3 linked regions of the Lepisosteus oculatus genome follow. The protein of the gene in region 1 interacts with the protein of each later gene in a pairwise test. Links are inferred from orthologs where the notes say so. Each region holds a gene or a part of one and is shown on either strand. Other genes may lie near its edges.

Region 1 (9,849 bases):
GGTCTGAGTGTTTCACACCCTGAATGTTTTGACTGTGGGGTGGGTGCGGAGCATCGATTAGACATCGATGCGTCTATAGTTGTTTCAGGAGCTTCTGTGTTTCTCGGTGGTTAAGTGGAAGGGTAGACCTGTTTTGATAGTTGGTGTGCAGAGGATGTTTCTGCCCCTAGGGGCACAAATACCACCGCTGTTCATAATAAAGAGTCCTGTTGCCCTGGAAGCTGTTCAGTGGTTCCTTTTGAAAGTTTAACAAGAATCCTCGGCTTTTTTTTTTTTAGTAAGGCTGTGGAATATGTTTCTGACGTATAAAAAATGATCCCCGTCATTTTTTGAAGTGCCGATAAATCCCTCCTTGCGTCACGCACAGTTGCCACTCAGGTGAAAGGAGATCTTTAGGGTCATCCAGCTGTGCCTGAGAATGGGGGGGGTTCATCCCTCCTTCTGCCTACATGAAATTGAGAATTTCCAGATGTTGTGGAAGGTGCAGGGCGTAGCTGGAGTTTTAGTTTCCTTAAGGTAAGAAGCAAAGGATAAAACCGAGTTGTTGGTGAAAGAGAGAGATGTATGCAGGATAGACTTTTCCAGAAGAAGCTTAAACAAAGGTTCCAAATGAAAAACAGCTATCTGGTCCATTTACTGTAATTCATTTGGCTGGGAGCCACTACTTTATCTAAGGGTCCTATCCAGCTGTGTGAATAATTGTGTTGAAAGAAGTCAGCGTGTTAGCTTTGACAACGTGTAAGTAGGATGACAGCATCCTTCAATATGAAATCGATCACCTGCTGAGTTCACTCCTTTTGATTTTAACAAACAACATCCAGAAATTTTTTTCCCCATGGCGGACATGGTCAGACTGTGATTTCTGGACCTGAACCTGAGTGGCCAACCATTCAGGAGACATAGGTAACCCTCCCTCCCCCAAATAAGACATCTTCATCACACAGAAAGATCATTTTAATATTGTTTTAAAGCGTTTAAATAAGGATGTCCATGTTTTATAATTTAGGTAAGCTTTCATGATGAAAATTAGGCCACGTTTCACCCATGTCCTCAATTATCTCAAAACATTTTTTTTTCATTTTGACATTCATTGCAGTTCAGACCCTTATTTACGTCTCAAGGTCATGTCATTATTGCTGGAGGTACAAGATACCCCTGACCTGACACCCTGCGCTCCAGCACCTCTTCATGTGACTGACAGCTTCACTCTTTAACCTGCGCTGGTGTTTAAAGCTTGGAGGCCACTGCTCCAGGACTTGAACTTGAACTTTATTGCCATATATAACCAGTACATGTACCGGTACAATGGAATTCTTACTGACAGAAAGTCTCTCGATTGTTTAAAAAGTGTAAAAACACAAAGTGCAGACAGTGCATCAAGACAATATACAAACAAACAATAGACAATGTACAAGTAAACAGTTAGAATGTAAACAATGCAGACGTGTGAACAATGACTGCAGATGTGCAATAAATAAGAAATTATAATGAGGTAGATGGTGTAGGTGTGGTCAAATGTGTTCGCCAGTCGCACTGCTTGTGGGTAGAAGCTATTGAAGAATCTAGTGGTAAGTGTCCATATTCTGAGGCCTTGTTCACCTCTCCCGAGCTCAGGCTGTATGTTCTGTCTGTTGCTGGGGTTAGCAACGCAGACGTCGGCTCCTAAATCCACAATGATGTCATCACAGTGTTTTGGAACAGGAAAGGATCTCCCTTTGGGTGCAGGAAGTTGACCACTAGGTCATGTTACCTCAGATCAGCAAACAACGTGTACCCCAGCCAGCAATCCCTGTCCTACACCACTGTGACGCAGGCGGTGTCCCCCCCAGCTGTGAGCCGTTTGTCACTTTTTGAATCATTGAGTGGACAAGCTGGTGGGAAATCATGAGCTTCATCATAAGAAATGATGAGAAAGGGGTTGAAAGCACAGCAGAAGTTGATCAAAGGAGTCTGTGGACTGCCCCATGACTTGAGAAACACAATCTCATCAACTGCGTCGCGGCACTTGAAATCTGTAGAGTTAATGAAGTCGCTCGCTGTGGAAGCCATTAGTGCAAGTGATGTTGTAGCCTTCAGTGTCTCATGGCTCTCAACAAAGCTTAGCACTGGGAGATATTTAACGAGGACCAGGCGTGTCAGATCAGCTTAACTGGCAGGAATCGAGGTGACAATCTAAGTGTGGAGTGAGGGCAGGTGCACAGTGTGACGTAGTCATGTTCTGGCAGTTTGGAGGTGATAGTTTTCAAAATATGTTTTCAGCATTGTAGTCTGGGCTAATAAGCAAATGTCAAAACTTAAAAAAAAAGTTGAGTGTCCTCATTCTCGTCTGCAAAAAAATGACCTGAACAATACATGCACTATTCAGGCAATATAGAGAATTCATGTGGAAGATTGACCTGACACCCTGTATTCAAATGTCTGCTGTCTCCATCAATGGGCACAGCACAGAGGCTTCGTGAGATGTAAATAAGGGTCTAAACCATGATGTGTGTAAAAATAAGTTAATTTATTTTGAGACCTAATTATTTCCCCAAATGGCCAAGAATGTATGGAAATACTGGTTAAACTCAAAAGGAGTGACATCAAAAACAGCCATTTTTTCATGATTTCTTATGAATCATTAGTGAATGAAGTGCCTCCCGTTCAGCACAGAAATGCAAGGAAAGTGTCCTTTGTGGTTCTTTCTCGATCTGTTACTCAAAGGACAGCAAAGTCATTCCTTATTTTCTTAAAGCGGTGGAAGAGCTCGTTCCCGCCCGCGCTCCGCCCCATGCTGTCAGAGTCGGTGCTTGTGAATGGGAGGGTGAGGAAGAAAGCAAAGCGACCTGTTTGATCCCGGCTATTGACTTGCTGAACCATGTGACTGCGAGGCGTTCGGACTCGAGCTCTCCACGTGATCTCCGCTGCTCATTCGGCAGTCCTGCAGTGCGAGGGTCGTGTTCCTCCCACTCTCTAGCCGGAGGAAGTATTTAAGAAAAGAAGAGCCACACAAACGGCCTTTTCCTGCGATTTGCCGCAACGTGCTGCGGAGAACGGGAAATAAGGCACATCTTAACGTCAAGACACAATTTCAGTTTTATGATGCTTCCTTTGGATGGTTTTTGAAGCATCTGGCATTCAGCTTGTTTGCATTTACAAAGTTTAAGTATCAGCTCTATGGCTGTGCAGTTCGTTGCTCATTTCCCTGAAGTGCCCTTTACACTAGAGTTAATAACAGTCCATTATTTGTACTCAACGAATGTGTTTTTGCGATTACCTTCATTATAGTAGTCTGACTGATACGGTTGTTTTTGTAAGCAGCAGTCTGTGCTGTGCTGTGCTCATTATGTTTGCAGATGCAGGGAAGGTTAAGCCAGTCTGCATAGTTGGTTTTTATGCATCATTTTCTCCAGCCATTAATCAAGGATATTTCATGGTGGCGTCAGGCAAGGTTATTTTTGCAGGATGTTATGGCTACAGAAAACCCCTCAGAGTCCAAATCACCAATAGTTCAGTATGACCTTCTAAATTGCTATAAACCGCGTCGCTCTTTGAAAAGTCTTGGATAATTGAGGCCGGTGGTGAGGTCCGTTGACTAAAAATAGAACGTTATTGAGGTCGCGTCGCACTCGGAGATAACCAGCAGGTGGCGATGTTGCTACTATTCTGACTTCCTAGCAACCCTGTAAATACAATACAACATTACATTCCTCAGACGGCTTGCTCCAACTGCATTTGTTGCTACGATATAATATTAATAAAAACACAAACCTTGAAACAAAGTAAAATCCATTTTTGTGAATGATCTGCTGCTCTTGTATGCACAACAGCCTGTTGTACAGCTGCAATTCACAAAGCGAGCGGATCATACTTAAATTGGGCGGCATACAGTACATTATAAAACAAAAGAGGCTTTGAAATATAACAGTTACTGCCGTTAGTGGCATTTTGTAGTTCATTTGAGCCTGTTTTCCATTTCTGCTTTGCTGTGTCAAACTATAAAAAAATAAGTGTAATGAAAACAACACGAATTGCCTATTTGGTACATTAAGTCATAGCTGTGGGTTTCCTGTGAAGTGTTGTAATTAGCTAAGCTACGGCTTTATGTCTGCAATTACGTAATATTGTCTGTGTGAGTGTGTGTGACATAAGCATCATTTTCCCTAGTTCTCCGTTTCTATAATAGAAAGCTGTTAATTATAAAGCTCCCCTGAAGGGAAGAGCAGAGGCATGCTTGAGGATTTAAAGCAGTAGTTTACACTGTCTTCTGCTCTCAATTAGTGTGTGGCCGTATCTTACAAGATCAGACCTGCTCTTACAGAATCCTCCCTCATGAAGTTGGGAGCCCTGGAGAAGTGCAGTCAGGTCTGCAGTGGCAGCAAGCGGTTGAGTCTCCCGCACCCCTTTAAGACAAACCGTGGTCTTCTCTCCTGGGCCTGTGCCACATGCGAGTCAGCGCCTGTGTGCCTGTGCGCCCAGCGATGAGCCCTGGTCTCCAGCGTTCACAAGCCCCTGTGATTTGGGCTTCCAGTCCGCCCTGTGATGTGGTCTGTGCTGTAGCACTTTAAATCCGCCGTCGAGTGGAGATGTAATTACGGCCTGTGATTTGTTTATTTTTCTTCTTTTTCTTCCTTCAATTAAATGCCAAAATGTGCCCAGAATAGCTCTTCTGTGGAAGAGAAGGGTGTGTGTGAGGCAAGGGGAGGGTTTGGGAAGAGATTAAGAAAGCAGTGATTTCAAAATCTGCTCCTCTTGCTGGTATGTAAATATAAAGAAGTGGCTCAGGTTGCCAGGGAGACACGCTTCCACATGGAAATCTTGTTAGATTCACAAACCTTTGCTTATTTTCTCGTAGCAAGCTTTTCTGCAGTTGAATAGAGGTAGTTTAGCACATCGACAGAGAATTGGAACCTTTACCCGCTGGGAAGGTTACACTGGGAAGGTCATGCACTTCTGCTGCCTGAATGTAAGAGAGTCTACTTTATTGAGTCACATTTGTATCTGTGGCATTTAGTTCAGCCTCTTGTGTGCTTTCAAAGTGCAGTTACCAGGCGTTACAGCAGGGGGCAGCTTTTAGAGAAAGCTACAAAAATCCTCTTGCAGCTTGTAAGATTGTTACAGAGTCCATTGTGTAGCAGGTAAGCTGCTTAGCTACAGTGCTTTCATCTTCTTAGTACATCCCGTCCAGGATGTGTCTGAACTCGTTACGGAGGATTTATGTGGGTAGTGGAAAATCGATTTTACTGCATGGATTTTGATTGATTTGAACATGGGCAGCTGATGGTTCAGACTTGAAAATCCACTTGGAAATCTTGTTTGGTTCACAAACCTTTGTTTATCTTCTCAGACCTTTTTATATTAATATACATTTTACATTTCCTTGGTCCTCAAATCTACCCTGCTGTACTCTAAACTGCAGGATAGTATGTTAAAAAGTTAGCTGGGTCATGAGCAAAGATAGTTATCAATAGCGTTCTGGTCTGAAAATGTAAGGCCATTTGCACCCTCTATCCATTTCTGTGGCTGAGACATAACCATTAGTACCCTAGACATGTTACAAAATTAAAGAAAAAGTCAAATGTTCTGTTGTTGACTAACTTTTAGTTAGACATTTTCAGTTGCTGTAATTCCATTTTACAGTTTAACGGGAGATATAACCGTTTTTATGCAAATCCTGGAAAGACCCATAAATGTCTAAACTGTAACAAAATATTTTTGTGCTAAATTAACAGCCACTACAGTTCTCAAAGCACAAGAGTGTAAGTTTCCCATGCAGGGTCACACACACAATGTCTGCTCACACAATGAATGAGGTCATTCTCCAGGCGGCAACCAATCAGAAGCCTGATCCCTGTCTTCAATGTCTGAATTTGAGACAAGGGAAGCCACAGCAGATTTTTTTGCAAATGCAAATAAATGTGACATCAGTGTCCACTGCCCCATGCCTGCGCTTATCCCTGCAGCAGATGGACAAAGGACTTAGAGGGAAGGACTGTTGGGGATTCGAATGCAGAGTGAGATGATATTTGCCTTGGTGACACCCTCGGGCAGCAGATAGAGAATGAACTGAGGCTTTCTGATGAGCAAGTGAGCAAAGAAACGGCTCTCTGTCGTCACAACATTTTCAAGTATTTTGTGAGGCAGGACAAGTGGACAAACCGGTCGGAGAAACATTTCCCGGGCCGGTTTAGAAAAGGCAACAGGGTGCAAAACAAAAAAACTTATCAGCTGAATAACATACCGAGAAAAAACAACAGGGAGGTACAAAAGCGTGGGGAATATTTTTTTTCAAGTTTTCAAAGAGCACATTTTTTCGAGCACATTTTTTCTTGACGTTTATCTTGCCTTTTTTCATGAGCCATCGCAGCTGGAAATAACACGACTTCAGGTGTGTTATTTCTGCCTCAGACATCAGTGATTATGGTGATACCAGCAGCAGGTTCAATCTGAGAAACATTTTTTTCTTCTGGGTGTGTGTTGCCGTGCACACATCTTATCAGTGGAATACCTTCTTTATGATTGTGTTTACGTGTTGAATCGAAAGCCTGGAGTTACGAGTGCCCTGACCTTAACAAGCTGAAGCGATATGGGCTTAGGAGTGGCGCCCAGGGAGTCGGGACTCTGGACAGACTCATGGCTTTTCTCCAGGGCTGGATCGATGCTGGCAGCTGTTGAACACTGGATCAGTGGAAACACAGGGCCATTAGGAGACAGGATTGGAGCTCCTGTTTGAATCTGGAGTGTTTTGCTGAATATATCATTTCTTGCAATTTGCTTAATGCTTTACACCTAGGAAGGGTCCCAATTCTTTCACCATAAAAATACTTCTCCTTCTTGGGAATGCAAGCTGTCGCCATCCTGTATCAGTGGCCCTACAACACACTTGGGTAACAGGAACACGGGGAGCCGTCCAAACTCCCTTCTGGACCTTCTTGGTTTCCTGCTGGTGCTGAATCTCAGAGCTGTGAGTGAATCCACAGGGACTTGTTGGGTAACTTGCGCTGGCTGTGCAGCCAGATCCTTATTGTATTTGGTGGATCCATGGTGAAGAAATGAGACCAAGAAGTCTGTGATGGTAAAAATCAACATGGTGGTGCTTAAGAAAATCTGTCTTCTGCTTCCATGACTTCTTGAAACGTGAACATCGTTCACTGGGCTAAACACCTCCGAACTGGTTGACTGGACAGATTTTTGCGAGGAAAGTCATTGGTACCTGCATGTTCTTTATTGGGACCACGCTCGGAAGACTTCAGATTCAATCTCTGGACTTCACTGTAAGCAAATTCCCAAATGAAGAATTGTATCTTGGCAAACACAGTATCGCCCATGGGTGTGATATGGGTGCATTTGTTGAAAACACTTTCATTAGATTACTTCCTGCTAATTTGTTTATACTGCTGGGGTTGGAGAGCTTACTGATTAGCCTTTGAGTAAAACATGCAAATCAGGAGGAGGGTATAATTTTCCATAGTTCAGAGACCGAAGATCACAGATATATCGGAGACGATGACTGTTGATCTCAAAATCTGGAAGAAACAGTTTGCTTGAAGACACTCTTAAATTATTGTGAGCCTTTGAAAAAGAAAAAAGCATTTGGATTGATCAGCCTGGAAGAATTTCTGAAGCTGTGAACTCCTCTCATGTAAGATACTGGGTATAGGGAGCAAAACTCTGGACTGAGCTCCAGACCAGTTCTGGGTTTTCTTGGCTGCTGCGTTGGGACCTGCACCCTTTCACTGCGGACACCGTCCTGACAACAGCCTTGCCTTTCGGATTTGGTGACCTAAGAGCTTTCTGCCTGCTTCCCTCCCCAGTAGTATCCAGTAACTGTGATATCGGAGCAGGCAATCTGCCCTGTCTCTTTTTAGGGGTGCAATGTATGTCCTGTGCACTCTGGTGGTGCTGTCTTTGCACAGCCTGTTCAAGGGGCGAAAAAGAGGCTCAGAAGTGGAGAAAGTGAAGCATTCCGACAGGGAGAGAAACTCGCCCAGAGACTGCTGCACGGACAACCACAGCCCAGGATATGAAGCCCAGAGCCTGTGCACCAAGAGTAACAGAACCACTTTGAGCAACATGCCTGGCTGCTGCTACAGTACCTGGGCACAGGTGAGAATCCATCTTGCTTACAGCACAGAATAACCTGGCTACTGTGCAGACTGTACAATATTCATTTTCCTTTCTCTGTCTTTTGGGGGGTATTGGTTACCTCTTCCATCTCTCTGTTTTTGTGCATTTCCCTTTATTGGTCAAACATGTTTTATAGCGTCACAAATTACTTGTAGATTGTTTTTGTATACTCATTTGTTTCAGCGTCTAAGTAAATAAACTACTCGACACGGAAATTCCTATTTATGGAGAAAGAAATGAAAGGTGCACAGTGCTCCATCTGTTTTATGCAGGATTCATTTAAGGGATTATTTGCAAGCGAAGTCATTTTTTAATTAAATGTTGTTGTTGTTTTGTTTCTGGGCAGGTACTGTAGAATGGGCTAAAAAACAAAACCCTTGTTTTTTAAAAAGTACAGGAGGCCTGTTTATTCTACCCTTGAAGGAAAATTAACTTAATGAGTGTAAAATCTGAATTGCAGACAGTAACTTCACACCCTGACATATCTGGGTGTAGTGTCCAGGAGCAAGCAAGAATCTCCGTGCATAATTCTTAAACGTTAGTGCTGGTGCTGTCAGAGTGGGAGTCTGCAGCTCTACTGTTTGCAATCATCTGCAAGTGCATGAGCTTTTTTTGCCTTTGAGGATTTGTTTAGGGTTTGTTTCAGCCTTTGCCAGCTAAATTGAGCTCGAATCCTTTTCAGATGCTGATATGCAAATACAGCTTGTAAATTCACCAAGGGAAAGTTGGGGGTTGACTGTGGGCTAAGGGGCAGTCTCGCAATAGGCAAAATTCTCAAATACTCAAAATGAGGTTGTTGCAGGTTCAAGTTCCAAGTGTAACTCTGTGCCTTTGTACTGTTGAGCACAGCACTACAGAAAGTATCGTCCGAACAGATCAATACTTTTTCTGTTGCTGTTGTTATTCCCCCTTGCGACAGACATCCTGTCCAGGGTGCACCCCGTCTTGTGCCCCTGCTTGCTGGGAAAGGCTCCAGCTCCCTCACGACCCTGTATTGGTTATGTAATACGTAGATGGGCAGTTGTTGTTGTTCCCTAAGTGATATCCAAGTACAGAACAATGCATTTTAGGATATTGTGGTGTTTGTGCATTGTGCACCACTGAGTTTGCCGAGTTTGTGTGTTTTTCTGGATTTCTGGGTGTGATGCTGTCTGACTTAGGACAGTCACATTGTATTTTCTTAATGGCTTTCGGACAGGGAGGATGATTGAGAAGCCCAAGCCTTTCAGTGCCATGTTACACTGCCTTCATGATAATGCTCCAGAATTTAAAAGGCAGATTACCACTGTGGCTCAATAATTCATGTGGGGTTTGGTTTTGTTTCCGTTACACCTGAACGACAGGAACTGGCCCTATTGAAGCACGCCTGTCTTGCTCCTTCCTGCAACTAGCCTGTGTTGAGATTCTGTTCCGTCCATCAGCCCAGTGACGCTCCATCTGACATCAGTCAGAATACATGAGGATGTCAGTTGTTAAGAGCAGGATTGCTCCTTGCTGGGGAGCATCCTCTTCTAACACCTGGCCCATGAAGTCAGAATATACCTAATTCCATTGCTGCATTCCACTGGTCACCCTGCGCCTGCACCGGCATGAGCTTTTCCTTCATTGGGACACTCCTTGGAATAAAAAGTCTCCGGTCTTGCTGATCTTAACAAAAACTTATGCAGTGAGAAATAATTTGCATTATCTTCTCTTATGGAAAGAGGAGGGGGACTATTAAACAGAACTCTGTCTGGTGTGACC
Region 2 (10,014 bases), on another chromosome or scaffold:
TGGAGCTTTTATTTACCGCCATCATCTGCACGCGCGAGCTGTCACCGACCGCGAGACAACCGAACAGGAAGAGTCCCGCCCCCCTCTGGCGCGCTGATTGGACAGAAGTGGATCCATCGACTGGTAGGCTCGGTTCTCCATTGGCGGCTGGGACATCCATCAACCAGAAAGCCCTTAAAAAGCCGATTCACAGATGGCCGTACGTGAGACTACTCGATTTCTTCCGTAAGAAGGAAGGAAGTTACGACGAATACGTAGGCATGCGGCTGGGAATCCTCGGCTTCTCTACGGGGATTTATATTCCCAAACACTTACGCAATGCGCTGACTTCTTTACTAGCGCTGGTGGGTTTATATCGAGACGTACGCACCTTGCGCAGCTCTCCTCAGTAAGTTCGGTTGGACGGAAAGGGTAGTAAGTAAGGTATTCACGCACAGACAAAGAGAATTTATAAAGGCATAAACGTTTCGTTTTTTTATTATTATTATTCCTTACAGAGTTGTTTTGATGCTCATCTTGCTACAAACCCCAAGGCCCGGGTGTGAAAATAAAGCCAGTGCCGAAGACGTTAATAAAAGATTAGGACCGAATTAAAATATATGTAAATTAAAATACCATTGCTTGGGCATAATAGAAGTGGTCAAAATAGCTGGTTTTCGCTTTTCAAAGACGCAGCCTTAATTTAACTATAATTTCCGACATTATTCTAACGCCGATTATATTGAAGGGAAGAAAACACTTTTTGGCGTCACTATGTCTCGCATTTCAACAAGTTGCGGCTCCTTGCTAGGAGCCGGAGCCGGGTACAACCTGGCCCGGTGGGTATTTCCTTCAACAGTTCCCACCCGGCTGCGCGTCGTTACACTGATCGCTCGACCGAAACTGAAGGACCTGCTGCATTTTTAGGGGTGTCCTAAAGGATTTCGTTTTCAAATAGACAAATAGACATTCGTTTAGGGCACAGTCTAAATATCCTACGATACATTTTTATATATTTCAGTCATGACGTTGCGCCATAAGGAGTGATGATATTAAAACTTCCAATTTTGTCACGTCAGCTTCACCTGTGTCAGGGGACCTTATATTAAAAATAACCACTTTTCCACTCCGTTGTAAAACGACCGCATTTTTTCCATTTCTAAATAAACACCCAACTAAAAAGCCGGCGGGTCTTATAAGCTCAAAGGAACAAAACCCATACATTCCTTCCTCAGACACGCATTCCGTTGACAGACCGGCACCTTCAAAGATGCAGTTAAGCAACAGGCAATTTTTCCCACATCGTCACCTCCACCGTCCCCACGGCGGCACGCTGGGGAACACGGAGGCAGAACAACGTGCTTCAGGTTCAGCTCATCATTGGGAAATAGTTTTCCCTGGAATCCTGCAGTACTCCTGCAGGAGACTGTAACACGGATTCACTCCACAAAACCTGTTAAGAGGCTAATTCCCAGACTCCGAGACGTCCGGATCAGAGCCACACCTGCCAGGCCTAGCCAGTGCACGAAAACGGCACACAGATCGCCTCACTGCCTGTAACTGGGAGCTGCTACCCTGCGCTGCCCTGCCCTGCTGTGCACAGCGACATTTTCATTTCTCCCTGCAGCACTGCTTCTCGCTAAGACTCTCCAGGAGTCTCGCCTTGGTGATAACTGCAGAGTTCAAAGTCCTGTTGGTGATGTCGAGAGGAAAACGCTTCCTTGGGAGCAAAGCTTTACTTATGCAGCAGACACCATGTGGATCACAAGAAGCAGGAGGTATCTGCATGACTCCTGCGCCCTTGAAAGCTGGCCTGGTCTCCATTCTCAAACACCCCCCACTCCCAGTTCCACAGAAGGAAGCACCGTTTATACCCTGACCACCTCTTCCGCACACCTGGCTGCTTCTGTTCAAACACAGCAGAACTCGCATGAGTAGTGAAGAAACACAGGGGGTCCTTACAGTTGTGACGTACCTTGAGAGCTCGTCTTTACTCATTTTTGTTTAGCACGTTGCGCTCCCTACAGCTGTATCTTGAGGAGGGGACGCAGTTTATCCACTGCAGAAGTGTGGCATCAGTCACCCGAGTGACACGCAGCAGATAGGGTGAATTACCGAGAAGAATTTGCTTCACCAGTAGGATTACAGAAAATGTTATGGAAGCTAGACTGTACATATTCCTAGTGGATTATAGTCATGACAGCAGGGTTAGCACCTGTCCTTTTGTAAACAGTGCCCCGAGGTCTTCTAATGACCAAGTAGACAGGACTTCAATGTTTTAATGTCTGATCCAAAGGAAGTCACCTCCTACAGCACAGCATCCCTCGTTACCTTGTTACTATACAGAGGCACAGGTTTGGAAATTCTGGCCTCCTCAGGGCCACTGCCTCCCATCCCAGAACTGACCAGACCCAGCCCAGCGTACAGGGTGATTAGCACTGCTGTCACATTAGTATTAATGCAGAAGTACTAGGAACCAAAACACCTGAAACCTGAAAACTGACCAAGTTTTTACTTAACTTGAAGAAGGAGGATCACATTATAAGAATCATTTTCCTTGCAAAGGAAACACTTGAAAAGTTTTTGCGGCCGCCTGGAACAAGTTCTAGCAGAGCGCGCAAACACCTTTAACCTTCAGTATTTGTCAACAGCACACTGGGATGATCCCCTTGCTATGAGCTGGAACAGGAGGAATGTTTCTCCAGGCGCCAGGAGCTTTCCAGCAGGCTGCTGTGCCTCTCGCGCAGGAAGTCCAGTGTCCCACTCGGACCCGCGCACACACAAGCACAGCTGGCTCAGGCTCGTGCAGGGATGGGAACCTGTTCTGGAACTCGGGGGCCTCCTCTCAGCGCATGCTGCTCCCGATTGCCACCTGCTGCTTGCGCACCTTGCCGAAGAGCTCCAGGTACTGCGCCATGGTGTCCGAGCAGTCGGAGGGGCTGTAGATGCCGTCGGGTTTGGCAGTGAAGACCATGGGCAGTTCGGGGGTGTGGGGTCCCAGGAATCCCTGCATGAACTCCTTCATCAGATTCCAGCAGTCGTTGGGCACCCCACATGGGCAGTACTCCACCTGCACACACGGGCACACGCAATGTTAGCAGCCTTTCAGCTCCTCACTCCTGCCCCCTTCCCACCTCTACTTCTCCCACTGGGTGCTTTCCTGCTCCTCACCTCCACAGAGATCCCTCTGGCGCTGGAGCCCATGGTGATGGTGCCAACCTTGACCAGGAAGTCGCAGTACTGGAAGCGCGTGCCACGGCTCTCCACCTTGTTACCCTTGGCGTTCTGGAAGTGGCCCTTCAGCTTGATCATCAGCACGTCGAAGTTGGGGTCGGCCACCAGGCAGGGCCCGCCCTCGAAGAGAGCGAAGCAGCTCAAAGGCATCTCCGAGTTGTGCATTACGTACAGGAACTTGGTGGGCTGCCCTGGGGTGAGAGAGGGAGAATGTACAGGCCAGCAGGGCGTTCATCTTTGTACCATCTCAGCCTGGGTCTCTAACACAAACATTTTACTTCTGCATCAAGCCTCTGTGCGCTAGGGGTATTATCTATCTGCATCTTTCCCCCTTTCCTTATTAGCTTTTTTAATACCCTCTGTCTCAAGCTCTCAGTGCTATTTTGTGTTGGACAACTCTCTCCACAACACTCTACCTCTCTCTTTATCCAGAGTAACCACGCTCCCTCGCTCAGCGCTCTCACCTGTAGTGCCCATGGCCCCCGCATGGTAGGTCTCACAGTCCACGCAGAAACTGCCCTGTTTCACTGCTCCCAGCTGCTCCAGCTTCCTGTGCAGCATCTCCACTGTCTGCTGGACACTCTTCCCCTCCACCACCGGCACCTGGCACACACTGCCAGAGCACAGGGTTACTGCTAACACTCCACACACACACACACACTGCCAGAGCACAGGGTTACTGCTAACACTCCACACACACACACACTGCCAGAGCACAGGGTTACTGCTAACACTCCGCGCACACACACACACTGCCAGAGCACAGGGTTACTGCTAACACTCCGCGCACACACACACACTGCCAGAGCACAGGGTTACTGCTAACACTCCGCGCACACACACACACTGCCAGAGCACAGGGTTACTGCTAACACTCCGCGCACACACACACACACTGCCAGAGCACAGGGTTACTGCTAACACTCCGCACACACACACACACTGCCAGAGCACAGGGTTACTGCTAACACTCCCCACACACACACTGCCAGAGCACAGGGTTACTGCTAACACTCCGCACACACACACTGCCAGAGCACAGGGTTACTGCTAACACTCCCCACACACACACTGCCAGAGCACAGGGTTACTGCTAACACTCCCCACACACACACTGCCAGAGCACAGGGTTACTGCTAACACTCCCCACACACACACACACTGCCAGAGCACAGGGTTACTGCTAACACTCCCCACACACACACACACTGCCTGAGCACAGGGTTACTGCTAACACTCCACACACACACACACTGCCAGAGCACAGGGTTACTGCTAACACTCCACACACACACACTGCCAGAGCACAGGGTTACAGCTAACACTCCACACACACACACTGATTTCAACTAATAACCTTCCTAACTGAACAAATTATGAGTTTAACTGGTATTTTTAACACACTGCCGGACTGTGTCAAGTCAAGACTGGAGTTGAGTTCTTATAAAGCAGATAGTTTAAAAACAAAAAAGCAAAGCATCATATATCAATTAGATCGTTTAAATTATATATTTTTTAAATGCATAAAAGTTTTAAATAAATTGTTCTAGGAACCGAGCAAAACTATAGTGCTATTTTAAGAGTTGGTTCAAAAGTGTCATCTTGTGACACAACTGTGCATAAAGCTTTTTAAACATACTGCTAAATTGGAAAATGCAATCGGTTCTGGAATAACCTGCATTAGCCAGGCTGCAGTTACATAATTCAAAACAGCTCCTTTCTCCAAACCACCTTCTTCTCCTCCTGCAGCATCATCATACTGTAATTGTAACGATATACCGCCGGACCAGAGACTCCGCTAATATAGCACACCCTGTCCCTGCACGTAAACAAAGCACGCTGCCTCCTTTCAAACTGCAGACCATTTCGTTTCAAATGGCTTCTAAAGTCCGCAAACTCACAACTGTTGCTGTCGGCGCAGCCCCACCAGGGCCGCGGTTAACCAGTTTAAAAACGTCTGTTATCGTATTATTTAATATTTATGGTGAGGCTCTGGACCCGAGGAACCCAGCTGTGACTATGTTGTTGTACACGTAGGTATGAAACTCGCATTGCTCCAACACCATGTCCAGCCGTGTAAAACAATACGCTCCGGATCGCCATTGTCAATGAAATGACGTTTCTGCTGCAATAAAAGATTCAAATAACTAATCTTACCACGTTACACCCATGTTCGCCTCTGACAGAACAAGACTCCTCTAACTTCACGTTACTTCAGACACGAGCTTCCTGTTATCAGGAAGAGGAAGTGACGCCACGATCGGAGGTTGACAATAACAAATTAGTACAGCTAATTTATATTCATATTATTCTTATCGTGAAATTAAATGATCATTTTCAAGACTTCCTATAAAGACGTTTTTAAAAGTTGTCTTCAATTTTATTTTTTGTGCTTCGAGTGTCGCCATGATTGTGCGGGGTGGAGGGGCGGTGACATCATTTCCGGTGAGTGGCAAAGGGTCACGCGTGCTTGCTGAGTGGTCTTTCTCCACATGTGCGGGCAGAGTTTTAAGTCTGTTTTACAGGTTTCGGCACACAAGACAAACAGAACTCTGACAGCAGAGCGAATCGGCGCCTACGGAGATGCCGAAAGTGAAGAAGACGAAAGGCGGAGGGAGAGCGGAGCACAGCCGAGTCGCGATGGTTCCTCTGGCCGAGCAGATCCTGCAGAGCGATGAGGTGAAGAGCAGCGGCCGGGTGAAGAGCCGTGGCCGCCGGCAGGAGGCTGAGGACGAGTACGTGGACGAGCGGCTGTCCCGGAAGATCCTGGAGCAGGCTCGGATACAGCAGGAGGAGCTGGAGGCGGAGTGCGGGCTCGGGAAGACTGCGGAGAGTAAAAAGCAGCCCACGACCGTGCTGGGTGAGTGTTTAGCGAGGGTGACAGAACGCGTGCCGCTTGTCACGGGCTGGTCCTGCGTCCGGCACGGGTGCGACCTATCTCGGCTGTGCGTGCCGCGTTGTTTGTAAGGAGAGTGACATGAGTGAGGCGTCCTGTTCGTGAACTGTTCGTACAAAAGAGGTGGAAATCAGATACCGCTTCTCTCTGCTGTGCTTCAGCTGCTTGGTCACACACGGCCTCCGGCGCGACCCCTAGCGAGAGGCCACAATCCCATCACCCACCTGGCCAGGTTTTCATGAAGCCAGCCGTAATGCTGGCACTTTGAGAGCAAGTAGCAAACATTGAATCCTCCTTTGGTGTCTAGTGTCCTGAGAGTTATGGGCAGGGGGGTTGTCACCGTCTCAAACTGTATCGCTGTAGAGTGTTGCGATTTGATTCAGAACCAACAGTGAAAACTACTGGGAAGAGTTCTTAAAAACTGAGACCAGGAGGTACTTCTATACACAGAGGGTGGTGGAGGTCTGAAACAAGTGGCCCAGCCATGTTGTTGGAGTTCATTCCCTGGGCCATTTCTGGAAAGATCTGGGTGAAATGATGGGATCAGCTAGCTCCCAACAGCCCTGATGGGGTTTTCTGACCTGTTCCTGTTGCCCTGCAGGCTCTGGCTCCAGGGACTCGGACTCGGAGGAGGAGGAATGGCCGGCGCTGGGGCAGGGGGGAGATGGAGAGGACGGGGAGGGGGCGGCAGGGGCAGAGGTGGAGGTGGACCCGGAGGATGAGAAGGCCATCCAGATGTTCATGAGCAAGAACCCGCCGCTCAGGTACTGACCCGGACCGACCTACCTCACAGAGCCGGGCTCTGGCAATGCAACAGCAAACCTGCTAGAATTCCAGCAGCGCAGCCCAGAGTTTACTCAGTGTTTCTCAACCACAATCCACAAATCGTGTGCAGTGCTCTCTTCCACACGTACGGAACTTTGCTGGAAAAGCTGCCTTGAATATCTGTTTACGTCTAGAAATCCTTGAGATGGGACCATCTTTTCTCTGGCAATGAAAAGACCCCACATCAGTTCCAGCAGCAGAGTCCCTGTGTGTCCAGTAATAGTCAATGTTCAGGAGCGGTCCAGGAGTCCAGACTGTTGAGGCACTCGGGAGTTCTGGGGTCTGTCTGCCAGGGTTTGATGTGGCCAACAGCAGACAAGTGACTGTCTCCTTAAGCCCTGCGTTGTTCCAGCCTGGAATGTCCTGCCCCCGTGTGCGGAGTGCGTGGTTGCTATCCTCCGGCCTCAGTGTGTCAGGCTGCGTTCACGACTGTGCCTCTTCCCCCAGGAGGACTCTGGCGGACATCATCATGGAGAAGATCACAGAGAAGCAGACGGAGGTGGAGACGGTGATGTCGGAGGTGTCGGGGCACCCCATGCCCCAGCTGGACCCCCGAGTCATTGAGGTGTACAAGGGGGTGAAGGAGGTGAGCGTCCTGTGCTGGGCCACGGTGTGGGCGGGGACACCCTCTCTCTCAGTCTGTGTGCTGCCATTCCCTGTCTCTCCCTCACTGTCCTTTCTGACGCACTCTCCCAGGTTCTGTCCAAGTACCGCAGCGGAAAGCTGCCCAAGGCCTTCAAGATCGTGCCTGCTCTGTCCAACTGGGAGCAGGTGCTGTACATCACAGAGCCGGAGACCTGGACGGCGGCAGCGATGTACCAGGCCACACGGTGAGATCAACACTCCCCTCACAGCTCCCGAAACACTTGGCCGGCAGACCGCACTGCTGTTCTTTTGGTTTGTAGCGCTGACACTGTGCAAACGGACAGAGGAGAGGCTTTCCTGTCGTCTCTGTAAAGTGGTTCTCTTTTTTAACCAAGAAAACATTCTCTCATAAACCACTTCAGCCCCAAACTCTTTCCGTGTTCGTAGGGCTATGCGTCCAAGAACATGAGAGCACCCATTGCGCAGGATTCTGATCCACTTATAGTTTTACAAACTGCAGGCTTTTATTCAACTGGTAGCGGCTTTTGAATTTGTGATGGGAATTCATATGTGCCTCAATATGCACAGAAGAGCGTGTAAAGCTAATTGCTACTGTTATGCTTAATCGGTACAATGTATACAGTACAACCTGGTTAAACTCAACCAGGTCAAGCGACAGCTGTCGGATGTGTCCTGTGTGAATTATTGTCCGTGTGCAGGTGTCCCTTTTCTACGCCTCATTTTTCTTTCTCCCTGTTGCCACCTGCAGGATCTTCTCCTCCAATCTGAAGGAGAGGATGGCTCAACGCTTCTATAACCTTGTCCTGCTGCCGCGGATTCGAGATGACATCGCGGAGTATAAACGGCTCAACTTCCACCTGTACAGCGCGCTGAAGAAGGCGCTTTTCAAGCCTGGGGCCTGGTTCAAGGGTGAGAGTCTAAGGCTTTATAATGGCCGTCCCTGGCAGTGCAGGAGATGAGCCACATCGCTAACGTCTCTCCCCCCTCTTTCTCGCTCAGGAATCCTGATCCCCCTGTGCGAGTCGGGGACCTGCACGCTGAGAGAGGCCATCATCATCGGCAGCATCATCACCAAGTGCTCCATCCCTGTCCTGCACTCCAGGTACACAAGCAGGAGGGAGGGCCGGCAATATTATTTCGTTATTTGGCAGGCACTTTTATCTAGCGCAACCTCCAGAAGTTACTATTGCAGCACCTTTTTTTTTCCCCCATGTACACATGTTGGTGTCCATTTCTGGAGGTGTGTTGTTTTACTCTGGGGTAAACAGCAGAGGCCCCACCTGGGATTCAAACCCACAGCCCTTTGGGCAGGGGCTCAGAGGTCCCCTTCATGCTGCAGAGGTTCGGGCAAGTTCAGCACACTGAATGGTCCCTGTCTTTCCCCTCCTCCAGCGCGGCCATGCTGAAGCTGGCGGAGATGGAGTACACCGGCGCCAACAGCATCTTCCTGCGCCTGCTCCTGGACAAGAAGTACGCGCTGCCCTTCCGCGTGCTGGACGCGCTGGTCTTCCACTTCCTGCGCTTCCGCAGCGACCGCCGCGCGCTGCCTGTCCTGTGGCACCAGAGCCTGCTGACGCTGGCGCAGCGCTACAAGGAGGACCTGTCGTCCGAGCAGAAGGGGGCGCTCCTGGAGCTGCTCAGGGTGCACTGCCACCCCCAGATCTCCGCCGAGGTGCGCCGGGAGCTGCAGCACTCGAAGTCCCGCGACGAGGAGACCGCCGCCCCCGCCATGGCCCTGGACTAGACGCCCTCCGGCCCCGGCCCCCCGCCTTCCTGCCTCATCATGTTCTAGAGAAATTGCGTCGCTTCCCTGTTCCAGGCCAAACGGCAGAACGTCGTGCTTCCTCTTGATTTCAACAAAACGCAATGGCGCCTTTCTTCTCTTCTTTCCTGGAGCAGAAGCAAATGTTTCCCTGTGGGGGGAATGGGCCGGCTCAGTCCTGCCCTGGGCTCAGCTCGACTGTGCGACTCGGGATGCGGATTTCGCATGGGATTGGCGGGGTCTGGGGAATGTGAAGGGGACGAGGCTTCTGACTGGGAGAGGAGGTCCCGTCTTCACAGCTGGAGGCACCCTTCTCTGATAAAGACACCGTCACGAAGGGAGTCACCCCGCCTGCCAGCAAGCAAGCGTTCAAGTAGTTGTCAGAGAGTGCTGTGGCATGTTGTGCAAGCTCAGTGCGTGCTGCTCTTACTGAGGAAAAAAGCTGTGAGTTGTGTAGAGCCAGTTAGCAGAGCTGGGAGGGCAAGGGGTGTTTAGGGCCCGAGGCTGCTGCTGTGTGGAGCTGTCAGCTTTCTAAAACTGGCCATAGACATTCCCAAAAAGCCGTCTAGACTCGCGAAGAAGCCCAAGTGGAAAACTGAAATTGAAAAGACAGCAACTGCAGAACCACACTGTTTGTTTACTGAACTTCTCACCCACCAGAGCGGGCATACTCTGACTCTGACTCACAGGCTGCTGGGTGAGTTTCTGCCAA
Region 3 (10,193 bases), on another chromosome or scaffold:
TGATAGAACACGACGGGATTTATGTTCGTACTTAAAAATCACTATTATACAATATTTAATGGAGTAATTAAAATTGTATTTGATACTATTTAGAATTGTAACACGGTGATAAACTTAGATTTCACAATATTACTTTGGCAAATTAAAGTATATACTGTTACGTTTTCGTTTTGCGTTCATTAGTTGATCAAAAGCTCTATGTCGAAGGAGATAAAAGAGCAGCGTTTCAAGTTTTCTACCACAGGGAGGCGTCATTTTCAGAGGAGAGAAAAGTGAATCTTTTTTTTTTTAACCTGTATCGCGCTGAAGTTAGATCAAATATGAGTTCGGATTCAGCGTTGCTATTGGAAACCGTGAACTTCGCCGCAGAGAAACACAAGTACCAGCGGCGCAAAGACCCAGAAGGCACCCCTTACATCAACCACCCCATCGGTACGGCCCGCCGTGCGGAAGGATTGCACTGCATTTCTTTGTTGAAAATATTTGCATATTTGCAGTTGAATAGATATTTCTGATGTATAACAGTGGCACACATGACGTACAGTATCATTTGTGTGTTGATTATTAACCTTTTCCCTTTGCAAACTTTTCTCAGAAGAAAATAGTCGAAACAAGCAAGCTGTTCGTCACATGGTGATTTTCAATTGTTGATGTAAAAACGTTGCATATAATTTTGATCATTTTATAATTCTTATCAAGAGAATGTGTTAACAGTCGGGAGATGCTCTTTAAGAATGAATCACTTTTATAAAAGATTTGTAATACTAGTGTGATTGTTCTCTCCTGTTGCTTCCTTTAAAAAAAGGAATCCTATATCCTTGGACTTTAAGATTTTTTTTTTCCATTCTAGGGGTGGCTAGAATTTTAAGTCAGGAAGGTGGAGTTACGGACATTGCAGTTTTACAGGTAAAAGCAATTTGATTCTTGTGTGCACAACATACCCCCCCAGTAACAAACATGCAAGTACCTATGGAAGTATCCTTAGGTACATGTCGGGCTGCTCTCACTGCTGTAATCTGTACCAAATGAGTGACACATTTGGGTATGCATGTGTAGTTTACTTGCAATCTTATTAGAATAAACAATGTGAAAAGATATTTTCTTGTGTAACCCGAATAGTGTGCACTACATCAGTTGCAGTGTTCATTTTTGCATTAACAGATGTTCTAGGAATGGATTTGCTGTGTTTCTGCAGGTATGAAATGGTTAAGTAAATGAGAAGTATATTGATTTGTCTGTAACACTGCCTAATTTATTACCTTGAATCCGTTGATTAAATTTACATCTTGTTAGGATTGTATCACCTCCAGCACTGGAGGAGTTCAAATGTGTGGTCAGCTGTCAGTGAGCACGTTGTTGTGCCCCCCTGCAGGCTGCACTGCTCCATGACACAGTGGAGGACACTGACACCACCCTGCTGGAGCTGGAGGCCATGTTTGGGACGACAGTGGCGCGGATCGTCCAGGAGGTGACCGACGACAGGTCCCTTCCCAAACAGGAGAGGAAACGGCTGCAGGTGGAGCACGCCCCCCACTGCAGCCACCAGGCCAAGCTGGTCAAACTGGCTGACAAACTGTACAACCTGAGGGACTTGAACCGCTGCACTCCCACTGGTGAGTCACCTACAGGGCAGCCACAGAGAGGCTCAGGGAGCTCAGCAGGTGTGAGCCTGGTCAGTACCTGGATGGGAGACCTCCTGGGAAAACCTAAGGTTGCTGCTGGAAGAGGTGTTAGTGGGGCCAGCAGGGGGCGCTCACCCTGCGGTCCATGTGGGTCCTAATGCCCCAGTATAGCGACGGGGACACTATACTGTAAACAGGCGTCGTCCTTCGGATGAGACGTAAAACCGAGGTCCTGACTCTCTGTGGTCATTAAAAATCCCAGGGCGTTTCTCGAAAAGAGTAGGGGTGTAACCCCGGCGTCCTGGCCAAATTTCCCATCGGCCTTTATCAATCATGGCCTCCTAACAATCCCCCTCTATGAATTGGCTTCATTACTCTGCTCCCCACTGAGAGCTGGTGTGTGGTGAGCGTTCTGGCGCACTATGGCTGCCGTCGCATCATCCAGGTGGATGCTGCACACTGGTGGTGGTGGAGGGGAGTCCCCATTACCTGTAAAGCGCTTTGAGTGGAGTGTCCAGAAAAGCCCTATATAAGTGTGAGCAATTATTATTATTATTTGAAAATACGATCTCCTTCACAGCTGTACATATACATTTTTATAGATCACTTTTTTTGTGATGTGAGCCATTATGCAGTGTTTCAGATTTTGTCACAATAAGAAATGATAGCTTTGGGCCACAACAAAAATACGTTTTTGTTGTGTTGTAGCCTGACATTTGTGTGACTGCGACTGAACGTGTAAGATCGTTTGTAGGGTTTTAAAAAAAAACATTATGGCTCGAGTATATGTTTCGCAACAGGAACTCGGAGACATCCTGGTCTTGTAAATATTTGCATACCTTCTTTGTGCATGTTCCCCTTTTACTTTACCGCAAGATAGCTATTCCCTGTTATTGCCCTTTCAGTATAACTTGAACTTCCTTATGTGCGTGCATAGGGTAATTTAATACTTTCCACTACAATGTGGTCAACCCCTTTCAGAGTGAGCAGACTCGAACGTCCTGATGTGTGTGATCTGCTGGGCGTGGAGCCGATGACTCCGACCTTGCGTTGTTTCAGGCTGGACAGCAGAGCGGGTGCAGGAGTATTTCCTGTGGGCAGCCGAGGTGGTGAAGCGTCTGCGGGGCACTAACATAGCACTGGAGGACAAGCTGCAGCAGCTCTTCAGGGAGAGAGGCATCGAGTCCTGACTCCCATCGGCAGAGACACCCCGTCCACAATCTCTACACTACCTCTTCTCCGGTGCGGGGCTCCTTACTCACCTGACGGGAGCAGAACTGGCTCTGCCCTAGATAGCACTGGCCTCGGCACTTACAGCTCGCGTTGTCTTTTGGTTGTTTCTGTATTATTAAAGACGAATGATTGTATTCTGTCCCGGTCTTTTTATAATCGTTTTGTTTTAACAGACTATAGGTTATGCATGCAGTAATTCCACATGTACAAGGTGCACACTTATTCAGTTTGTCTAATAATATAGTTACAACATAATTATCGTAGAACCAATATTATGTATTCTCTGCTTCAGAATACACATAATAAAATGTTCATCTGCAACTTCTTTGTCAAAGACAGTGGTTGTAATACATCATTGTTATTAGAAGATCTGCAGCCATTTGTGGTCAGGTTAGAGACAGAGACAAGATCTCCAAACCTCAATATATAAACCACTCATGCTAAATTAACCATTCTGTTTCCTTATGAGAAAGCAACACAACAAATAGGAAGCAACTACAGTAAATACTGTGCTCATTTCATAGTTACAGAAAGCTTTTATTTACTGTTACTGTAGAACATTTGAAAGAACGTTTGCTTTCTGTAGAGCAATGCAAACTGAAAAGTGTATGTGTGAAACTACCCTGATTTATGTTCAAATGTTGAGCACTGTGAGAGAGACAGCTACAGTGTCATAAAGATAACCATTGTTTTGAACACCATAAGACCCCACACTACTTGAGGTTCACAATCTCATGAAACATTTAAAACTTTAAATAGGCTTAGTGGTATTATAGTAAGCCTATGCCACTGAGGGAACAAATAGAAACCAAATATTTGCCTCAGTCATGTCAGCTTCCTGTCTCTGCAGAATCATCCCACCCTGTAGGTGTTGGGGTGTGTTTTGTTTCTTAAAACGTGTTCACAACAGTTTCCAACTGAAACTACAAGTTTGCCAGCACAAACAGGAAGCTACAGATCTGCATACTGCAGGAACGGAGACAGAAACATGAAGGTTCTCATGCTGTATTGGCTTGCTGTGTTCACTGTTGGAGTCAAAGGTAAAACAGGGCAAGACTAGTAATATATTCCTGAGAAGTGAGTACAATGTGAAAACAATTATTAATTTTAATATAACTCCTAAAACACGATGGGGAAAAGCAGTCTGTGGTATGTAAAAATACCAGATTGGTGGATAGTCTCATCTGCAAAGGTTTGTTTTGCTTTTATTGTCTAATGGTAGCTATGAAACCATAAAAAGACAGGAGAAGTAATTTAAAGAAATATGAAACTATTGCTAATCATATCTTTTATTATCTAAAAGAAATGCAACTTAAACTAAGTTTTACTATTTTTTTTATTTTTAGGTTACCTTGAATATGACAATGAGTTTTACATTGAAATCTTGGGATTACGTAAGTAAGAAATTCTAACTCAACCTGGAACTTCTTAACCTGGAAATCTGTAGTGTGTGTAGTAGGGCTCTAGAGATCTTCCACTTTTACAAGCAAATGCTTAATGCAACAATGAATTAGTGACAAATCATTATTCTGTTATGGAAACTTATGGTTTGCCTCTGCATGGTTTATATAGCAATATCTAGTTTTCAGCAAACACATGTTGCACATCATCATTGCATGCAAATCTTTTAAGACTCTTGATGGGATTTATAGATGTGAAATGCAGTTTTCATATACTTTCCAATGTAATGATGACTGTGTTTATTGGTGTCTACTAATTCTTTCTGTGTGTACTGTATGTGTACCTAGCAATGAACAAGTGTCCTGTTCAGAGTGTAGTCCTGCCCTGCCCCCTATATTTCCTGGATAGTCAACTATGACACCAGAAAAAAGCAATATTCTGATGGTGGGTGATTGCTTAATGGTCTTGGTCTTGTTGCAGGATTTCCTGGACCTTGGTTCTGGTACACATTATATGGTGTCTCAGTTTTTGACGCGGTCTGTGTTCTCATCATCTCTTCCCTACATGTGAATTTCCAGTTGCGCATGAGACAAGTGAGAAAAAGCACTGCCCGAGAACAGAGGAGTCTCATTTCCTCTAATGACTTTGGCCTTGTTTCTGTCGCAAGTGGAAGAACGCAGCTGACCGACCTCTGTGAACTTCAGTGTTAACCCCATAGAAGACAGAATCTTCTTGCAACAATTTTCTACAATATACTATATGTTCACTTTTTCCTCCCAGTCTGAAAACACGAGAATGAAAAAAAAAACCCAGAAACAACTACTTTTATAATAAAATGGCAGTTACAGTGCTCTACTACTAATACTCCCAGATGTAATAGCATTCCTGTAATTTTGTTTTTCTAATGTAAATTAAGTTCTTGAATAAAATAAAGTAATGTGACAAAACAACGACTCTTTTACTGCATGATCCTATTTCTTCCGGAAGGTGGTTGTGTGTTGTGTGTGAGAGAAGAAGGCGAGGAATCTGAGGTGAATAATTCTCGAATAAGAATCGGCACAAAATGATAAAAATTGAAACTCCAAAACTAAACTCACGTTATTCTACTTTTGAAAATATCCTCCATTCATGTTCTCGTCTTTTTAGTTCAAATGTAAAGAAAGATGTTTTTGATGGGACACGGCATAGAGAAATCAATGTAGCGATACATTTTCTTAGCAGTGTTAACTTATATGCAATGTTGACGTACAGTACATTATTTTCTATAAAATATACTAAAACACAAACCAGCTTCAAACCGTAGATTTACACTAGGTTTTCGTGCTTTCAAATTTTATTCCAGTAAATATTTTAATAAAAATAATCATTGCTATTTTAAATAATATTTCTATAGATTATAACATGTTGTTTATAAAACCTACGGAATTAATTTGTTGTTGTTTTTTTTCATTCGCCCACTACGTTAATGAATGTTGGTCCAAAATAAAGATTAAGGAGGAAGCTCTGTAGTTTTTTGTTGCAGTTCGGAATCCAAGCACTGTAACAACATCCGGCGGCTTGGTGTCGTATTTCCTGTTTCTCTGCTACGGAGAGGAAGGAGATAGTTGTTGAGTGTGTTGTGAAGCTGATCTGAGATACATTTGTTTCTTTTGCATTTGTTTTTGTCATTTTTACCGTCCAGTCATGGCGGCACCGAATTCTCTCAACGTGAAGCAGCCGCCGATTCAATCCACGGCCGGAGCCGTGCCGGTGCGCAATGAGAAAGGTGAGTTGTTGGACTGAGGCTCCGCATAAAGCGAGGACTGGTGATCATCGGGCCCTTGTTTTCGGTTTGAAAGTTAGAATACCGAGAGGAATGTGTCCAAAATGATTGACTTTCCTACAGGTTGTCTGTGAAAGTGCACGAAAATATTAGTTGAAGTAAATGTTAAATAATTATACATTTAAGTTAATTTTATATTGTAAGACATGATGAAATACTGGATAAATACTTGTATCGGTATTAATAAATATATGATATAAAGTTAAAGTCAATAATTAATAACAAAGCGGGAGATTATTTGTTTACACTCGATACAAATACACATATAAGCTAATGAAAACGTAGACCCAATATTTTCGATACATATATGGTATTTGATAATACTACTGAATAGAGAAATGTTGGTATTTTTGTGTTGATTTGCGAAGTGTATGAATCCATTTAAGAAATTAAAATGCTACGTTTATGTGTGTTCTATAGATACAGATCATAATTGTTTTGGGTTATAATGAAACTCTTTAGCCCTAGTGTTGATTATTCAAACAGGTCTGATCGCAAGAAACGCAAAGGGTAATAAAAAACACCAGTCGTCATCGTTTCCAGATTTCTGTGACTATTAAGGGAGTTCCATGTAGCGCTTGTGTGTTATTGCAGTCTTCCAGAGGTGCGCTGTCTGGGGGAGCCAGAGAGAAGCAGGGAGTGAGGGACTCTCCCCAGCCCCTCTCTTGGGCAGCGCTGTGTGTGCATGTGTTCATGCGGAGGAGGGAGGTAATGGGGTTGCTGTGTCTTGCTGCAGGTGAGATCTCTATGGAGAAGGTGAAGGTGAAGCGCTATGTGTCGGGAAAGCGCCCGGACTATGCCCCCATGGAGTCCTCGGACGAAGAGGAGGAGGATTTCCAGTTCATGAAGAAGGGCAAGGAGGTGGAGCCGGAGGTGGAGCTGGAGGAGGAGGATGTGTCGGACCCCCGCCTGAGGCGGCTGCTGAACCGCGTCACTGAGGACGTGGAGGAGAGGTACCCTGGGGGGGGAGTGTTCATCCGCTGAGAACATCCCCAAGTGGCTTGACTTGGTGACATCCATCCATTTTCTAACCGCTCCCTCCAGTTCAGGGTCATGGGGGAGCAGGAGCCCATCCGGGCAAACAATGGCACGAGGCAGGGTACACCCTGGGCTTGACGCCAGTCCATGGCAGGGGCAGAGAGGCATAGACGCGTACACACTCGCACCAGGTCCAGTTAACCTACCGGTGTGCTTTTGAACTGAGGGAGGAACTCGGAGCACCCAGGGTTAACCCACATGAACACTGGGGGGACATACAAACTCCATCAGATAGCACACAATGCTAATCACTGCACCATTGTGACATTATCAGTTAAAAATGGAAATTGTGAACAAACAGAAGTTCATTTATTTTATTTTTCAGTAAATTTTGTATTGCAACTTCTTTGTGTTTTTAAGTGGATGTAACTGCATGCAGTATAGCTGTCATTTTTATATAGTTGATCTGTCATTCCAAATAACACTTTGATTGTCGTGATGGTCAAAATGGAAAGCGGCCTGGCAGTGGGACTAATAACATTATTTGTGGGTCATGTCGTTTTGATTCTTTTGCTGTGAGGTCTGATTGCCCTATCCCTGACACAGACCCTGCTTTTCCTCAGGTTGGCGCGACACAGGCAGATCGCAGAGCCGGAGCTGGTGGTGGAGAGTAGCGAGGAGTCGGATGAGGGGGGCTGGCATCCAGACCAAGAGGAGAGCAGTGAAGAGGAAGAGGAGGAGGAGGTTGACGATGAGGTAAACGCAGAGGAATTGGGTGTAATAACTGGATTCTAGTATGAAAGTGCAGATCGGTGTCTTTCCTGGGACAGTAGTTTGCTTATAAATTGACTGTCCTGGGATTATTCAAGAAGTGGTTTGTTGAAATTTTATCAGTTAGCTACTAACAAGCCAAGATGGGTCAGATGGTATTCCCTTGTGTGACTTCTCGTGTTGTAATGTTTTGATGTTTTCCTGACACGTGAGAAGATTATTTCCTGCTGTTCTCAAATCTTTTCATTGCTAGTGCTCTGTTAAGATGCTGTCTGATGGTAAAGAAGAGTCCCCTGTGAGCCCCTCTCCCCCCGGTGTTTGTGTGTAGGAAATCGAGAGGCGGCGTGCCATGATGCGTCAGCGGGCGCAGGAGCGAAAGAACGAGGAAATGGAGCTGATGGAGGTGGAAGAGGAGGGGAAGTCGGGAGAGGAGTCGGAGTCCGAGTCGGAGTATGAAGAGTATACTGACAGCGAGGACGAAACCGAACCACGCCTCAAACCCGTCTTCATTCGCAAGTGGGTAGTGCCATTTTGGGCGGAGGGTCCTAATACAAGATCGGAAGGTTTTGCTCTTTCAGTGACGCAGACCGTTATTGTTCTAATAATTTATCAAAAAGTTTAGTAAGCATCTGACTGCAGACAAGTAAAGAACTGGTACGTTTGGCAGGAACATTATTTCAGTTTCTTTTCGTTCTTTGCTGTAAGAACACGTGGAGTGTGTTAAACGTGTTTCAGAGTCTGAGAAGCTTTCTGATCCACATATTACTGTATTCCAATTCTAAAGTTCAGAATTGGAACAGAATAATGTGAAGTCTGTGCTGGGAAGAAATATGCTGTTACAGCAGTCTCCCCTCGAAGCTAAACGTTCGTTTTACTGAGGACCTGCAGGGCTGCTCAGCAGTGTCTTTACTGGGGCTTTGCCAGTGTAAGAAGCAGTGAGCAGGTCACTGTGAATGCGTACACTGCCAGAGTGGACTGCGGAAGCAGGCCCTCATGATGGAGCTCTGCTGGCTCTTGCAGGAAGGACCGCGTGACGGTGGCGGAGCGGGAGGCCGAGGAGCAGAAGCAGAAGGAGCTGGAGGCCGAGGCCAAGAAGCAGGCGGAGGAGCGTCGGCGCTACACGCTGAAGATTGTGGAGGAGGAAGCCAAGAAGGAGTTTGAGGAGAACCGGCGCACCCTGGCCGCACTGGAAGCCCTCGACACGGATGGGGAGAATGAGGAGGAGGAGTACGAGGCCTGGAAAGTCCGCGAGCTCAAACGCATCAAACGGGACCGTGAGGCCCGCGAAGCGTAAGTTTGGGGGGGCACCACCCAGGTCCGTACGCACTCTGGTATGAGAAGTACCGTACCTGATCGGCAAATTACAGACGTCTGCAGTTTGGGTTCCCTGAAGGGCAGCGTGAATTCAATCAGCAGTGGGCATATGTTTTAATCAAAAAAGAATAATGCTGACTGTGGATTCAGCTTGGCTAGTAATTCGTGATCTGTGAAGACCGGTTTGCCATGGTGGGGTGTGTCTCACTGGGTGTTGTGTTCCCAGGATGGAGAAGGAGAAGTCGGAGATTGAAAGGTTCCACAATCTCACCGAAGAGGAGCGCAGGGCAGAGCTTCGCTCCAACGGCAAACTCATCACCAACAAAGCATCTAAAGGCAAATATAAATTCCTGCAGAAGTACTACCACAGAGGAGCCTTCTTCATGGTGAGTCTTCTCTTTGTTTGGTGGCCATGATGAGTGATAGACTGGGGTTGTTGCAGTACATTCTTAAAGTGATAGGCAAAAACAACTGGGAGCTTGATATGGGAGAAATTATTCTATTGAATTGAAAATCAGAAACAAAACCATCAGATTGACTCAAAGTAGTTCCATTATATTTGTGGTGATTTTGCTCTTACCTCTGTGCAATTTTCTGTGGCACTGGAATTCCTAATTGTGAATCTGACTGTTTAGGATGAGGAGCAAGATGTATATAAGAGGGACTTCAGCGCCCCTACCCTGGAGGACCATTTCAACAAGACCATCTTGCCCAAAGTCATGCAGGTGAGCTGGCTGGAGTCTACTCGTATTGCTGAATTTATTCATTTCTGGGTTCAGCTGAAGATCAAATGCTAACTAACATTCTCTGGATTTTTGTGTTTACCACCATTTCTGTTTTGAAAATTATTGCATAGTTAGTACATCTTCATTATTATGCATGATTTGGAAATAGTCAAGTATTAGAATATTATCATTAATTGCGACATGGAGAAAGGGAGGGATATTAGGTATACCTGGAGAACAGGTACCAGTTTAAAATGAACATTTTGTACTGCTTCAATCAAGGTATATTTTACATATACGTTTGTTTTTCTGATAAGACATTCTGTA

Evidence for each region.
Region 2: the proteins of kifc3 (region 1) and bysl interact in binary tests that used the Homo sapiens proteins (3 or more experiments, as listed by UniProt). The link is inferred for Lepisosteus oculatus from reciprocal best matches to the Homo sapiens genes KIFC3 and BYSL.
Region 3: the proteins of kifc3 (region 1) and mfap1 interact in binary tests that used the Homo sapiens proteins (3 or more experiments, as listed by UniProt). The two-hybrid records come from large-scale screens. The link is inferred for Lepisosteus oculatus from reciprocal best matches to the Homo sapiens genes KIFC3 and MFAP1.

The regions. Positions count from the first base shown.
Region 1 is NC_090715.1:4,617,910-4,627,758, reverse strand, and holds the start of kifc3 (kinesin-like protein KIFC3), read left to right. Parts: upstream 1-5,882; 5' UTR 5,883-7,854; coding exon 7,855-8,085; intron 8,086-9,849. UniProt on the Homo sapiens protein: Minus-end microtubule-dependent motor protein. Involved in apically targeted transport. Required for zonula adherens maintenance.
Region 2 is NC_090700.1:40,787,973-40,797,986, forward strand, and holds the start of bysl (bystin), read left to right. Parts: upstream 1-5,644; 5' UTR 5,645-5,796; coding exon 5,797-6,073; intron 6,074-6,710; coding exon 6,711-6,873; intron 6,874-7,381; coding exon 7,382-7,520; intron 7,521-7,630; coding exon 7,631-7,764; intron 7,765-8,288; coding exon 8,289-8,449; intron 8,450-8,539; coding exon 8,540-8,642; intron 8,643-8,932; coding exon 8,933-9,284; 3' UTR 9,285-10,014. Other genes in the region: med20 (mediator of RNA polymerase II transcription subunit 20), read right to left, coding at 2,825-3,049, 3,151-3,404, 3,678-3,826, 5,371-5,384. UniProt on the Homo sapiens protein: Required for processing of 20S pre-rRNA precursor and biogenesis of 40S ribosomal subunits. May be required for trophinin-dependent regulation of cell adhesion during implantation of human embryos.
Region 3 is NC_090700.1:49,400,190-49,410,382, forward strand, and holds the start of mfap1 (microfibrillar-associated protein 1), read left to right. Parts: upstream 1-5,823; 5' UTR 5,824-5,939; coding exon 5,940-6,021; intron 6,022-6,814; coding exon 6,815-7,031; intron 7,032-7,679; coding exon 7,680-7,812; intron 7,813-8,155; coding exon 8,156-8,343; intron 8,344-8,847; coding exon 8,848-9,117; intron 9,118-9,367; coding exon 9,368-9,527; intron 9,528-9,776; coding exon 9,777-9,866; intron 9,867-10,193. Other genes in the region: hddc3 (guanosine-3',5'-bis(diphosphate) 3'-pyrophosphohydrolase MESH1), read left to right, coding at 321-432, 851-906, 1,373-1,613, 2,682-2,812. UniProt on the Homo sapiens protein: Involved in pre-mRNA splicing as a component of the spliceosome.